2 linked regions of the Macaca fascicularis genome follow. The protein of the gene in region 1 interacts with the protein of each later gene in a pairwise test. Links are inferred from orthologs where the notes say so. Each region holds a gene or a part of one and is shown on either strand. Other genes may lie near its edges.

Region 1 (6,623 bases):
CCTACAACTTTACACTGTGGTGGGCAGCAAAAATAATATTGTGCCTGATCCCAAAGAGGAGACACAAGCCTTTCCAGAAATGTCTACACCAAAGACACACACCAAAAATAGTTTACTAATGTATATTCTCAGCTTGAGTATGTTGTCTGCTTCCACTTCTAGACTTAAGAAAAGGCCGCGTTCCTCACCCTCCTTCCTCCAGCATTTGCTTCATGCAGTTAAAATGGAACGAATGACTTTAGTTAAAGCATAAAAAGAGTCTCACTAAGGAGATACTAATTATAGCTGTTTTCACAAAGCTCTCAGAAACTCCAGCAGGGGGCTCATTCATTCCTGCTGAGCTGCTACAGACCCTGAGATTATGTTGTCTACATCAGCCTTAGAAATTTCCCACAGGCAACACTTCTCCCACACCCGCGGAAGTCATACACCAGTTACAGTGGGAGGGCAACTGTGTAGGTCACTACAAACGGAACCATTAGTTTCATCTCCATGTTCCCCACAAACATTTAAAATAAAATCAAGGCCAAATGCAGTGACTCACACTTGTAATCCCAGCACTTTGGGAGGCTGAGGCAGGCAGACCACTTGAGGTCAGGAGTTGGAGACCAGCCTGGCCAACATGGTGAAACCTTGTCTCTACTAAAAATACAAAAATTAGCCAGGTGTGGTGGTGCATGCCTGTAGTCTCAGCTACTCAGGAGGCTGAGGAGGAAGGATGGCTTGAATCCAGGAGGCAGAGGTTGCAGTGAGCTGAGATTGCGCCACTGCACTCCAGCCTGGGCAACAGAGTGAGACTCTGTCTCAAAAATGAAATAAAATAAAAACAAGCGGGGCAGGTGGAGCTCCCTTAATTCCTCCCTAGGAAATTCTATAAAGGCAGAGTAAAATTTAGAAAATCAAACTGGGGCAGTGGCTCACACCTGTAATTCCAGCACTTTGGGAAGCAGAGGCAGGTGGATAACCTGAAGTCAGGAGTTCAAGACCAGCCTGACCAACGTGGCGAAACCCCATCTCTACTGAAAATACAAAATTAGCTGGGCATGGTGACATATGCCTGTAATCCCAGCTATTCAGGAGGCTGAGGCAGGAGAATCGCTTGAACCTGGGAGGAGGAGGTGGCAGTGAGCCAAAGATCATGCATTGCACTCCAGCCTGGGCAACAAGAGTGAAACTCTGTCTCAAAAATTTTTAAAAATTTAAAAAAAGAAAATCAAACTGGATATCCAAATGATAATTAAATTACATATGTTCATTCATTACCACTGCTGTTACCAGAAAATGGGTCTTGTCCCAGACTCCAAGAGTGGGCTCTTAGATCTCACTTTCTCGGGAAAGAATTCAGGGCAAGTTGCAGAGTACAGCAAAGTTAAGATAGTTTGTTAGAGACTATTATGGAGTAAGGCTTCCTCAGAAAGCAAAAGGAGGAATGCCCCTACTTTAAAATTTTTATTTATTTATTTATTTATTTAGATACAAGATCTCACTCTGTCACTGAGGCTGGAGTACAGTGGCACTATCATGGCTTACTATAGCCTCAATTTCCTAGGCTCAATTAATCCTTCCACCTCTGCCTCCCAAGTAGCTGAGTTACAGGTACACACCACCATGGCTGGCTAACTTTTGTATCTTTTGTAAAGATAAGGTTTTTTCATGTTGGCCAGGCTGGTCTTCAACTCCTGAGCTGAAGAGATCCATCCATCTCAGCCTCCCAAAGTGCTGGGATTACAGGCGTGAGCCACCATGCCTGGCCAAGAATGCCTCACCTTAAACATAGTGCTTGCTTATATAGGTTGTTAAGAATAGCATACTTCATTACAAAGACTTTTGATCAGCTTGTGACGGGCTATTAGTATTGTTATTTTCCTATGTTACTACTGATTTCCACAAGAATTTATGTGTGTACTATTATCTTTAAAGTAAAATCTATTCTTAAACTAAGAATGCTTTTTGTTCTTGAAATATTGGGACGTTTCCATAAGTTCTGGGTCTTTATTTGGTAAGTTAGCATCATTAACTCATCCCCTCAACCATAAATATCTTGTGACCAACAGTGTCAACCCCCTGGGAATGCTGCCCAGCAGGATTGGCTTTACTTAGCCTTTATTCAGGATGGAGTCTCTCTGGTCAGGACATCTCTGACACTATTAACCTTCTATCTCAATGTCTTTCCCTCTCTCACCACGCAACCTTAGATAATTAATTTGTTAATTACCAATCTCATAAATGAAACAATGCTGACCAGGGCAAATGGCTGGTCTGGATGTTCCCAAGGATGTATTGCAGGCGGCAGGAAGGACGATGGACCCAGCATCCACTTTACCCGGGGACGATCATAAAACAATTTGCACCATGGTACTGAGGGCCAGAAGGCCAGAAGACAGCCATGTGATCAAAATAATCTTTCCTAGGCCAGGTGCGGTAGCTCACACCTGTAATCCCAGCACTATGGGAGGCCAAGGCAGGTGGATCACTTGTGGCCAGGAGTTCAAGACCGGCCTAACCAACACGGCAAAACCCTGTCTCTACTAAAAATACAAAAATCAGCCGGGCGTGATGGTGTGCACCTGTAATCCCAGCTACTTGGGAGGCTGTGGCACGAGAATCACTTGAACCTGGGAGGTGGAGGTTGCAGTGAGGCAGGATTGTGCCACTGCACTCCAGCCTGGGCAACAGAGTGAAACTCTGCCTCAAAATAATAAAAATAATAACAATAATGTTTCCCACAGGTAAAATATTTTCAAGCGGAAGGAGTGGAAGTACTAGCCAGTCATATATATAGATCATCAAGGAATAAGGATGAGCTTCCGGAAGCGAATTCTGGCAGCTGGGCTTACCTGCTACTCCCTGGGAGCTTTTTGGCGCCTTTATTATTATTATTATTGTTCTTTAATTTTCTGTCTGGAATAGCTGGGACTACAGGTGCACACCACCACATATGGCTACTTTTTTTTTTTTCTTTTAGTACAGACAGGGTCTTGCCCAGGCTGGTCTCAAACTCCTGAGCTCAAATGATCCTCCCGCCTCAGTCTCTCAAAGTGCTGGGATTACAGGTGTGAGCCACCGTGCCTGGCTGAGATTTCATCAAGCTACTTAGAACATCATGCAACTTAGAATTTATGAATTGTTTATTTCTGGAATTTTCCATTTAATATTTTTGGACCTTGGGGCCTAACCAACACGGCAAACCCTGTCTCTACTAAAAATACAAAAATCAGCCAGGTGTGATGGTGCGCACCTGTAATCCCAGCTATTTGGGAGGCTGTGGCACGAGAATCACTTGAACCTGGGAGGTAGAGGTTGCAGTGAGGCAAGAGGGTTACTGAAACCTCAGAAAGCAAAACTGTGGATAAGAGAGGATTACTATACTGCCATAAAGTTGCATTTTTAAAATAATTTCAAACATTGTATCCAAGTAATATGTGTATTCAATTAAAATTTCATCCCTTCAGTGTTTTATAAGTAATTCAAATACCAGAGTGGTAACCATCTTCTAGGAATATTAGTTACAATCCCAATCACTGTTTTTCAAAAAGATGTTGTCAGTCCTGCTCCTGAAATTTCTCTCCAACAGGTCTCCTCCTCCCATTCCCACTGCCCCAACCCAGCCAGGCCCTTACCTCGCACTGCTCCGGGACGCCAGCCTCCAATCTGAGGCTTTCCTGGTGTCTGGGCTTCCATGCAGCTGTCAGAGTGTTCTTCCTGAAAAGAAACTCCATCCATGCCATTTTCCGAGCAATACGCTTTACTGGGTTGTCCTGTAGCCTTCAGGATAAAGTACAGATTCCTAAGCATGACACCTCGGATGAAGTATTTTCCAGTCTGTTCCCTCCTTTCCAGATTACCACCTGCCCCTTTGACCCTGCCCTTTGGTCATTAGCTACAATCAGCTGCTCTCTCCAGCAAGCCTCACTAGCTCTCCAAGCCTTCCCCCATGATGCTCTCTGCCCAGACTGCCCTTCCTCCTGTTCCTCTGCCTACAAGATCCGACGTGCCCTTCAGCCTCCAATGTTAGTTCACCAAAATCTTCCCTTTGAATTACGAATGCAGCTGGCTGCAAACTCCTCCAAGTGACCAGAGTGTCCTATAATCACCTCTATGATAGCATCTTTGATTTAGGGGGTGATTTTTCTTTTTTTCTTTTCTTTTTTTTTTTTTTTTTTTTTTTTTGCATTTCTGAATTTCCTAAGAGAATGTGAATTCCTAGAATCCTAGGAATTCTCATCTGATTTTTATTCCCAACATAGCACCATGCAAAGCAAAAAGTAGGTACCCAATAACTGCTTTTGGAATGAATGAATGAATCAATGAATGGTACCATGCAGCTGCCAAAGTGCTTTCTGCAAAGCAACTCTGACCTTGTTGCTCTCTGAGCTGTGCTCCTTCCTGGGTGATGAGGTAACACTGGAAGCTATTAACAGATAAGAGAGAAAAAAAAAGGAGGGGAGAGATCTCTGGGGCTCTGACAAATTACTTATTTTCACTGAGTTTCTGTTTCCTCATTTGTAAAACAAAAGTGCTGCCCGGATGAGCTCTGAAGGCATCTTCCAGTTCTCAAATTCCAGCCTGCTTGGCTCCCAAACAACTTTCCTGGAGTCTCTGGCAGCTATAACCCAAGTCTTAGCACCATCTAGTGATAAACAGGCACACAGCTGGGAGGGAAGGCCGGGGAGTGGGGAGGGTGGATAAGAGAAGGAATGCCAACCTTAATTATATTATGAGCTGGCAAGGAATTAGGTCAAACCTGCAAATACGAAGTTAAAACTAAGAGGCCTAACTTTATCCTGGGGATGGAATAACTAATTAGCTTCAGAACATGGATGAAGTAGACAATTATAGAATGCCTGAGACATGGAAAAGACAATAAAACAATTCCTGTGTACCCTGGCCCTCTGGTTCTTTTATCAATTTACTGCTTGTTACTGTAATTAAAGTTTTCTTGGGAGGACATGTGCTTTTGAAGGGCCTATGGCATGGGACTCTAATAACTCAATAAAACCACAAATTTATTAAGAATATATATGTATTTTTCAAATTTCTTCTTATTTATTTATTTATTTGAGACAAGGTCTTGCTCTGTTGTCCAGGCCGGAGTGCAGTGCCATGATCATGGCTCACTGCAACCTCGAACCCCTGGGCTCAAGCAATTCTCCCACCGCAGCCTCCTGAGTAGTGAGGACTACAGGGATGTGCCACCATGCCCAGCTAATTTTAAAATTTTCAGCCAGGCACGGTGGCTCACGCCTGTAAATCTCAGCATTTTTGGAGGCTGAGGCAGGTAGCTCACGCAGTCAGGAGTTTGAGACCAGCCTGGCCAGCATGGTGAAACCCCATCTCTACTAAAAATACAAAAATTGGCTAGACATGGTGGTGCGTGCCTGTAATCCCAGCTACTCAGGAGGCTGAGGTAGGAGACTCTTACCCCGGGAAATGGAGGTTGCAATGAGCCGAGATCCTGCCACTGCACTCCAGCCTGGGCGACAAAGCGAGACTGTCTCGGAAAAAAAAAAAAAAAAAATTCTTTTTTTCAATAGAGATTGGGGTGGGGGAGGTCTCACCATGTTTTGCCCAGGTTGGTCTTGAACTCCTGGCCTCAAGCGATTCTCCCACCTTGGCCTCCCAAAGTGCTGGAATTACAGGTGTGAGCCCCAAGTTCAACCTCTTTACCTTTATTGGAGTATAATAAGACCAAAATATGACTAATTAACACTATAGGAAATAAGGATAATTCTGAGAGAAGCAGCAAAACAGTAATAAGATACTAGTGTCCACATTCTTTTCTTTAAAACCTACAGACCTACACATTTTTATTAACCTAATATTTGCTAAATGACTTTCTAGTTGCCAAAAAACAAGAATCAACAAATCAACTGAACAAATGACAAAAGATAAACAATTGAGCATTGAGTAACAGAAACTATGTTGAGATTTTGCCATAATCTGTCCTCAGGGCTGTCCTGAGACCATTTTCTGGACAAAGCACACATGTAAAGGGGTAGGTACTTTATAGATACATTGAGCAATAAGGGTCCTTAGGCCAGGTATGGTGGCTCACGCCTGTAATCCCAGAACTTTGAGAGGCTCAGGTGGGAGGATCGCTTGAAGCCAGGAATTTGAGACCAGCCTGGACAACAAAGCAAGACCACATTTCCATAATTTTTTTTTTTTTATTAGCCAGGCATGGTGGCGTGCACCTGTAGTCCAGCTACTCAGAAGGCTGAGGTGGGAATATCGCTTCAGCGCAGGGGGGTGAGGCTGTAGTGAGCTATGATTGCACCACTGCACTCCAGGCTTGGTGACAGAATAAGACACTATCTCAAAATAATAATAATAAAATAGGCTGGCGCGGTGGCTCACGCCTGTAATCCCAGCACTTTAGGAGGCCAAGGTGGGTGGGTCACCTGAGATCAGGAGTTCGAGACCAGACTGACCAATATGATGAAACCCCATCTCTACTAAAAATACAAAAATTAGCTGGGCGCAGTGGCACATGCCTGTTGTCCCAGCTACTAGGGAGGCTGAGACAGGAGAATTGCTTGAACCCGGGAGGCAGAGGTTGCAGTGAGCCAAGATTATGCCACTGCACTCCAGCCTGAGCTACAGAGCGAGACTCCGTCTCAAAT
Region 2 (6,047 bases), on another chromosome or scaffold:
AAATAGTGTAGAAATGTATAAAAGCATCTACCTTTAGTCTTGCTTCAATAATCTTTGTCAGGGTAAGGCAGTCTCCATGAAAACCACTGCATCCAATGACTGTTTTGTCTGTTCTGTAAAAAGCATATTTCAGAAAACGGAGCTGGTTAGACAGTACAGCAAAGCATATCTTCGGCAATTTTAAATTTAAAACCCCTATTCCCATTATGTCCTAAACGGTAATGGGACAAGCAGCCACCCTTCTGGGGAGGGGGTTCTGTATTCCTACATCTCACCCCTCAGTCCAGATGAATTATAGGTGGATCAAAGACTTTAAAAATGCAACTATGAATGGACTAAATAAATCATGGGTGAATTTTTTTACTATCTTGGGCTGGGGAAGATAGGTAGGTAGGTTGGTTGATTGATTTTTGAGATGGAGTTTCACTCTTGTCACCCACCCAGGCTGGAATGCAGTGGCACAATCTTGGCTCACTGCAACTTCCACCTCCTGTATTCATGAAATTCTCCTGCCTCAGCCTCCCAAGTAGCTGGGATTACAGGCGCCCGCCACCAGCCCAGCTAATTTTTGTATTTTTAGTAGAGATGGGGTTTCACCATGTTGGTCAGGCTGGTCTTGAACCCCTGACCTCAGGTAATCCGCCAGCCTTGGCCTCCAAAGTGCTGGGATTACAGGTGTGAGCCACTGCACCCAGCCTCATGAAGGTAGATTTAAATATAACACAATCCAAGGGCCACACAGAAAAATTTCATAAATTTGACTACATAAAACTCTACAGAGAAATTTATGAATAGCTTTTTAAAACCCTAAGAAAATATACTGGTAGCACCTACCATCAAAGTCTAGTTTTAATTCTGCAAAGAGTTCTTACAAATAAGAAAAGCAGTAACGACACAAAGAAAAGAAGGGTAACAGTCTATGAACAGACAAGTCACAGAAAAAAGAGACATTAAGTCACCATAAACATAAGAGCCTCTATGTTACTCAGAAATCCAAATCTAAAAAAGAGACTATTTCAACCAATCATAATGGCTAAAAACGCCTAACTAAATGCTGGTGAGGTTGTGGAAATAGTATAAACTGATTAACTTGTTAGATGGGCAATTTGGTGGTATCCATTAAAATTTTAAATACACACCACTTTCACCAATTCTACTGCTAGACATCCATCTTGTCAATATACTTATGCCAGCATGCAGAGGGATGCTCTAGACTCACTAGTGAGCATTCATTTAAATAGCACCCCATAAGAAAACAAAACAAAACAAAAGCCAAATGTCCATCTGTATGGAAAGGACTAAAATTTGGCATAGACATACAAATTCAACCATGTAATTCAAAAATTAATTCCTAGATCTTTATATGAATCTATAAAGAAACCTACACAATATTTTGCAGAGGCCACAACTCCTTTTGGAAACTTATGAATGACCCGCACAAACCATACTTGTCCTACTAGGAGAGCAGCCGACACCTCTAGGGTCATCACTAACATCAACTCTATCCCTACCACCAACCTCACTGCACTGAGGTGAAGACTCCAATCCCCTACAAGGCTTTACTGCCTTTACTAACAAGATTGGCTGACAATACCAACAGGGAAAGACAGAAATCTTAGAACTTCAAGATGCTTTTCCCAAATATCCAGGTACCACCAAAGGAATGGGAGTTTTCATGCAAAGAATATAGTCTCCAACAGGTTTGGAAGAGGCACCCCTAGTTCTAGGTCCGCCCCACAGGACATGGGATGAGAGATATATACAGGCATTCGTTAATGCTGTATTGTTCTTATTCTCTATCTCTATATCTGATGTGTTTCATTAAAAAAAAAAAAAAAGTGCTCACTTCAGCAGCAAACGTAACTAAAGCAACATTTAAAAGATGAGTAAAAGCCAGTACAAGGATGGTATCCATAAAGTTGTTTTAAAATCTTATTTCTAATATTTACTACTTTCAAGTTGTACAAGTGTCATCCTCGAGGAGAAAAAAAGATAACACGAGAACACTATGAACAGAAAGCAGAAAGACGGTATCAGAAGATGCAAGTGGACAGAAAGAGAACCGGGAAGATGCAAACAAACTTCACTGCTTTTTGGGATAAGATGTGGGCTATCCCTGGGACCAGGGAAGAAAACGTATCTTTTCTTCTGTACCTACTTCCTACAGTACAAGGACGGCCTGTCCAAAGGACCTAAACCTCCTAAGTCCCATTCATTCCTATTACAATTCAAGTTTAATAGACTTTTGTAACTAACCCAGGAATTCATGACCATTTATAAGTATTTCCAAAACTGTTAAATACAGACCACTACTAATCTGCAGTATGTATTTAGCTGATTTATGCAGGCTTTTTTTTTTTTTTAAGTTTTGGCTTTATTTTCATGTTTTAGGAAAAACACAGCTAGCCTATTAAAACTGAGCTATGGATATAATGGCTTAGGGTATTTCTAAAACGAATGTTTCAAGTTAAAAAAAACAGTGTGGGGAGGCAGATTTTTAAAAAATACCATTTAATGATTAATGGTGCTATGGTTTGAATGCTTTCTTCAAAACTCATGTTGAAATTTAATTGCCATTGTGATGGTACTGGGAGTTGGGACCAGGTGTTTAGGTCCTGAGGGCTCAGCCCTCATGAATGGACATTATCACAGGAGTGGGTTCGCTCGCTCTTCTTTCTCTCTCTCTGGCTTTCCACCATGTTAAGACACAGCAGGAAAGCCCTCACCAGATGCCAGCCCCTCAATCTTGGACTTCGCAGCCTCTAGAACTGTAAATCAATAAATTTCTGTCCATTATAAGTTACCTAGTGTGTGGCATTCTGTTACAGCAGCATAAAATGGACTAAGACAAATGTATAGATGGAAAAAGTGACAAAGTAATTATAGTAAAATACAAACAGTAAGATCTAGGTGATGGCATACGGGTTTTCATTATGAAACTCTCTTACTTTTGTTGCACATTTGAAAATTTTCATGGTAAAATGCTGGGGTGAACACATTTAAGTTACCGAAAGCACTTTTGGTACCCTGAATATAGCAAATATTTTTAAGACTGCACATTGAATTATTAGGAAACATTAACTTAGAAAATGATTTTCTAATAAAAATGCTCCCAACAGCAACTTAAAAACTCATGAAACAAATCATTTAGAAGTAGAAACTCTCACAGCATTAAATCATTACAAAGGCATTGTGAAATGTCTTCAGAAATATTTACTTACAATTTGTAACATTTGGGGCTATCCCGGGTATGAATTGAAAACCCTTCACTCAGTCGAGTATCAGAAGCAACAATTGCAAAATCTTCTCCAGCAATTGCCAGTACAGTACTGAGGAAAAAAGAAAAAAAACATTAATTCTCCAGGGTGGTAATCCTATCCCTACAAATAGAAGAATGCTCCATAGCACATACTGGGATCAAATACTCTAGATGTCAACAAAACATGATTCAAATGGGAAGAGGAAAGATGAGCGGCAAGAGAATGAACCCCTGGTTACAAGTTGCCTGGAAAAACAAATTATTAATAAGCCTAAATCAGGGCAAAGTCTCCTTGGCAGGAGGTAACAGAAAAGTCAATGAATTATCATCACCAACACATTAAATGCTTACTTGTGCAAGGTACTACTAATACAGAACAACTAAACACCACGTCTGAGCCCTTGAGGGTTAACTACAGACAGCGGTACTACAACACAAGCTCTAGGAGTTTCGAGAAGATGGGATTTATCTTTCTTTCTCTTTATAGCCAAGTCCTTATGTAACGCCTATATAATGCTTATTTCTTTATACCCAAGTCCTTATACAATGACAAACGGACAAACAGTAAATTTTTTCCTCTGTGGCTGTACAATTTGACAGCTTATCAAAGAAATTTACAGTATGAATTCCAAAAGCAGACTGCCTGGGTTCTAATTCTGGCTTTCCCAGTTAGCAGATATGAGACTGTGGGTAGTTACTTCTCAAGGCCTCAATTTCATCATAAATACAACAGAGATCACTTCAGTTGCTACCTCAATAGGGTGTTCAAAGAATCAAATATGTAAAGCCCTTATAGCAGTCCCTGACATGTAACTGGTCCTCTAGTAAGTGTTAGCTATAACTGCTATGGCACTAGAGTATGACTAAGCACCTGGGCTCTGGAATTACATGAGACAGAGACCCACTCTTGCTACTTACTAGGTATGTGATCTTAGGAAAATTCTCCAAATCCAAGTTGATGGTAACAGTACCTGTGTTACAAGGTGTGTATATTTGGGTGTGTATATTTTACTGTAAAAGGCTTGATTGATAACTATAACCACTGCTTCAATGCAATAGTGGAAATTAAAGGCATGGTGCCTCACAGACGTAAGCACTCAGAAAACTTTAACCACTATTTTCACTGAGGAGGGATTTATGCTAAAGCTCTCACGTAGAAAAGGATGGCATTCCAGGTAATATAAACAGCATGCAATGGCAAACAGGTAATAATTCAAATAGTACATTCAAGCAACTCATTCAGGCAGCCATTTTTGCACAAACACACGTAGTGACATAAGGTTTATGTGATGGACAGGGTTCCTACTGTAGAAAATCCCAAATGCTAAGCTAAAGATTTTGGAATTTTAGCAAGAAATCACGAAGGTTTTCTGAGCAAGAATGACCTGTAGTTGTAACTACCAGGAGGCTGAGGTGGGAGGACTGCTTGAACCCTGCAGAGAGCTATGATGGTGCCTGGGCATTAGCAGGAGATCTGGTCTTTTAAAAAGATGCAAGAGAGAGAAAAGTTCCATTTACAAAGTGGGGTTTCAGGAAGACTACTCTGACAATAACAGTACATGAAATGGGATGGAAACACTGTTCTAATACTACTAATGCAATAGTAAGGTAACAGGGTGAACAGGTAAATCCGAAATTGTCACAAACACACAAAATAGACAAGTTGTTATACCTACGTAAATGTGTTAGGAACTGGGAAAACCAATTATGACATCCAAGATTTAGAACTTAAATGAGCAGAATCATGGCATAATTATAAAAAGTATTTTAAAGGAGAGCAGAGGAGGCCGGGCACGGTGGCTCACACCTGTAATCCCAGCACTTTGGGAGGCTGAGGCGGGCAAATTGCCTGAGGTCAAGAGTTCGAGACCAGCCTGGCCAACATGGTGAAACCCCATCTCTACTAAAAATAGAAAAGTTAGCCAGGCATGGTGGCAGGCACCTGTAATCCCAGCTGCTCGGGAGGCTAAGGCAGAAAGCTTGAACCCAGGAGGCGGAGGTTGCAGTGAGCCAAGATTGCACCACTGCACTCCGGCCTGGGTGACAGAGTGAGACTCTGTCTCAAAAAATAATAATAAAAAAGGAGAAGAGGAGATTGAGGGGAATAATTAGCTTGCTTTTTGTTTTGTTAGCTGTCTCGAGTTATTGTGAGAGCAGAAAAACCAGTTAGAAATATTTTACCGAAGAAGCCAGAATTGAGGGACTCATGAGAGGCAGAACTGGAAAACCAGATTTGGGAGTTATCCTCCCAGCGATGAGACATGAAAGAGTGCTGAGTGATAAACAAGGGGGCCAATGACTTGTTTAACTACATTTAAAGACAGAGTAGAAAAAGAGAATGAGGCCTCATTTTGTGGAAGCAAAGGCTGCCTGAAAGTCAGCTGCAGTAAACACTAAAGAAAAAGAACAATGACTGAGAAAAAGTAATCAGAAAGTTCTAAGTAATTTTTAGGGCAGTAATGGCTTAAACTGGATTACTAGGGATTAAAAAGTGAGTAATGAGTAGGGCATACTGAACACTGAAAATTCTTATTTATAGAGAATAGCGTTATGAAATGGGTCTAATAACCCTCCCTACAATGTACAACTTAATTAGTCATCACAGGAAGTGTTAAGGAGTATAATGGAAAAGCATGAATAAACTCAGTGGTGAAATAGCTAAGTCCTGGCTCAACTTCACACCAGCTCTCTGACCCTGACAGTTTAATGTCTAATATGACCCTAGGATGCTAACATCATCGAACATTCACTTTTCATGATGATTAAATAAGATGACGGCTTGCAATTT

What was found. The genes of interacting proteins can lie anywhere in the genome.
Region 2: the proteins of KIFC3 (region 1) and PSMB1 interact in binary tests that used the Homo sapiens proteins (3 or more experiments, as listed by UniProt). The two-hybrid records come from large-scale screens. The link is inferred for Macaca fascicularis from reciprocal best matches to the Homo sapiens genes KIFC3 and PSMB1.

Annotation. Positions count from the first base shown.
Region 1 is NC_088394.1:53,965,374-53,971,996, forward strand, and holds the start of KIFC3 (kinesin-like protein KIFC3), read right to left. Parts: upstream 3,825-6,623; 5' UTR 3,729-3,824; coding exon 3,621-3,728; intron 1-3,620. UniProt on the Homo sapiens protein: Minus-end microtubule-dependent motor protein. Involved in apically targeted transport. Required for zonula adherens maintenance.
Region 2 is NC_088378.1:518,989-525,035, reverse strand, and holds part of PSMB1 (proteasome subunit beta type-1), read right to left. Parts: intron 3,330-6,047; coding exon 3,222-3,329; intron 114-3,221; coding exon 32-113; intron 1-31. UniProt on the Homo sapiens protein: Non-catalytic component of the 20S core proteasome complex involved in the proteolytic degradation of most intracellular proteins. This complex plays numerous essential roles within the cell by associating with different regulatory particles.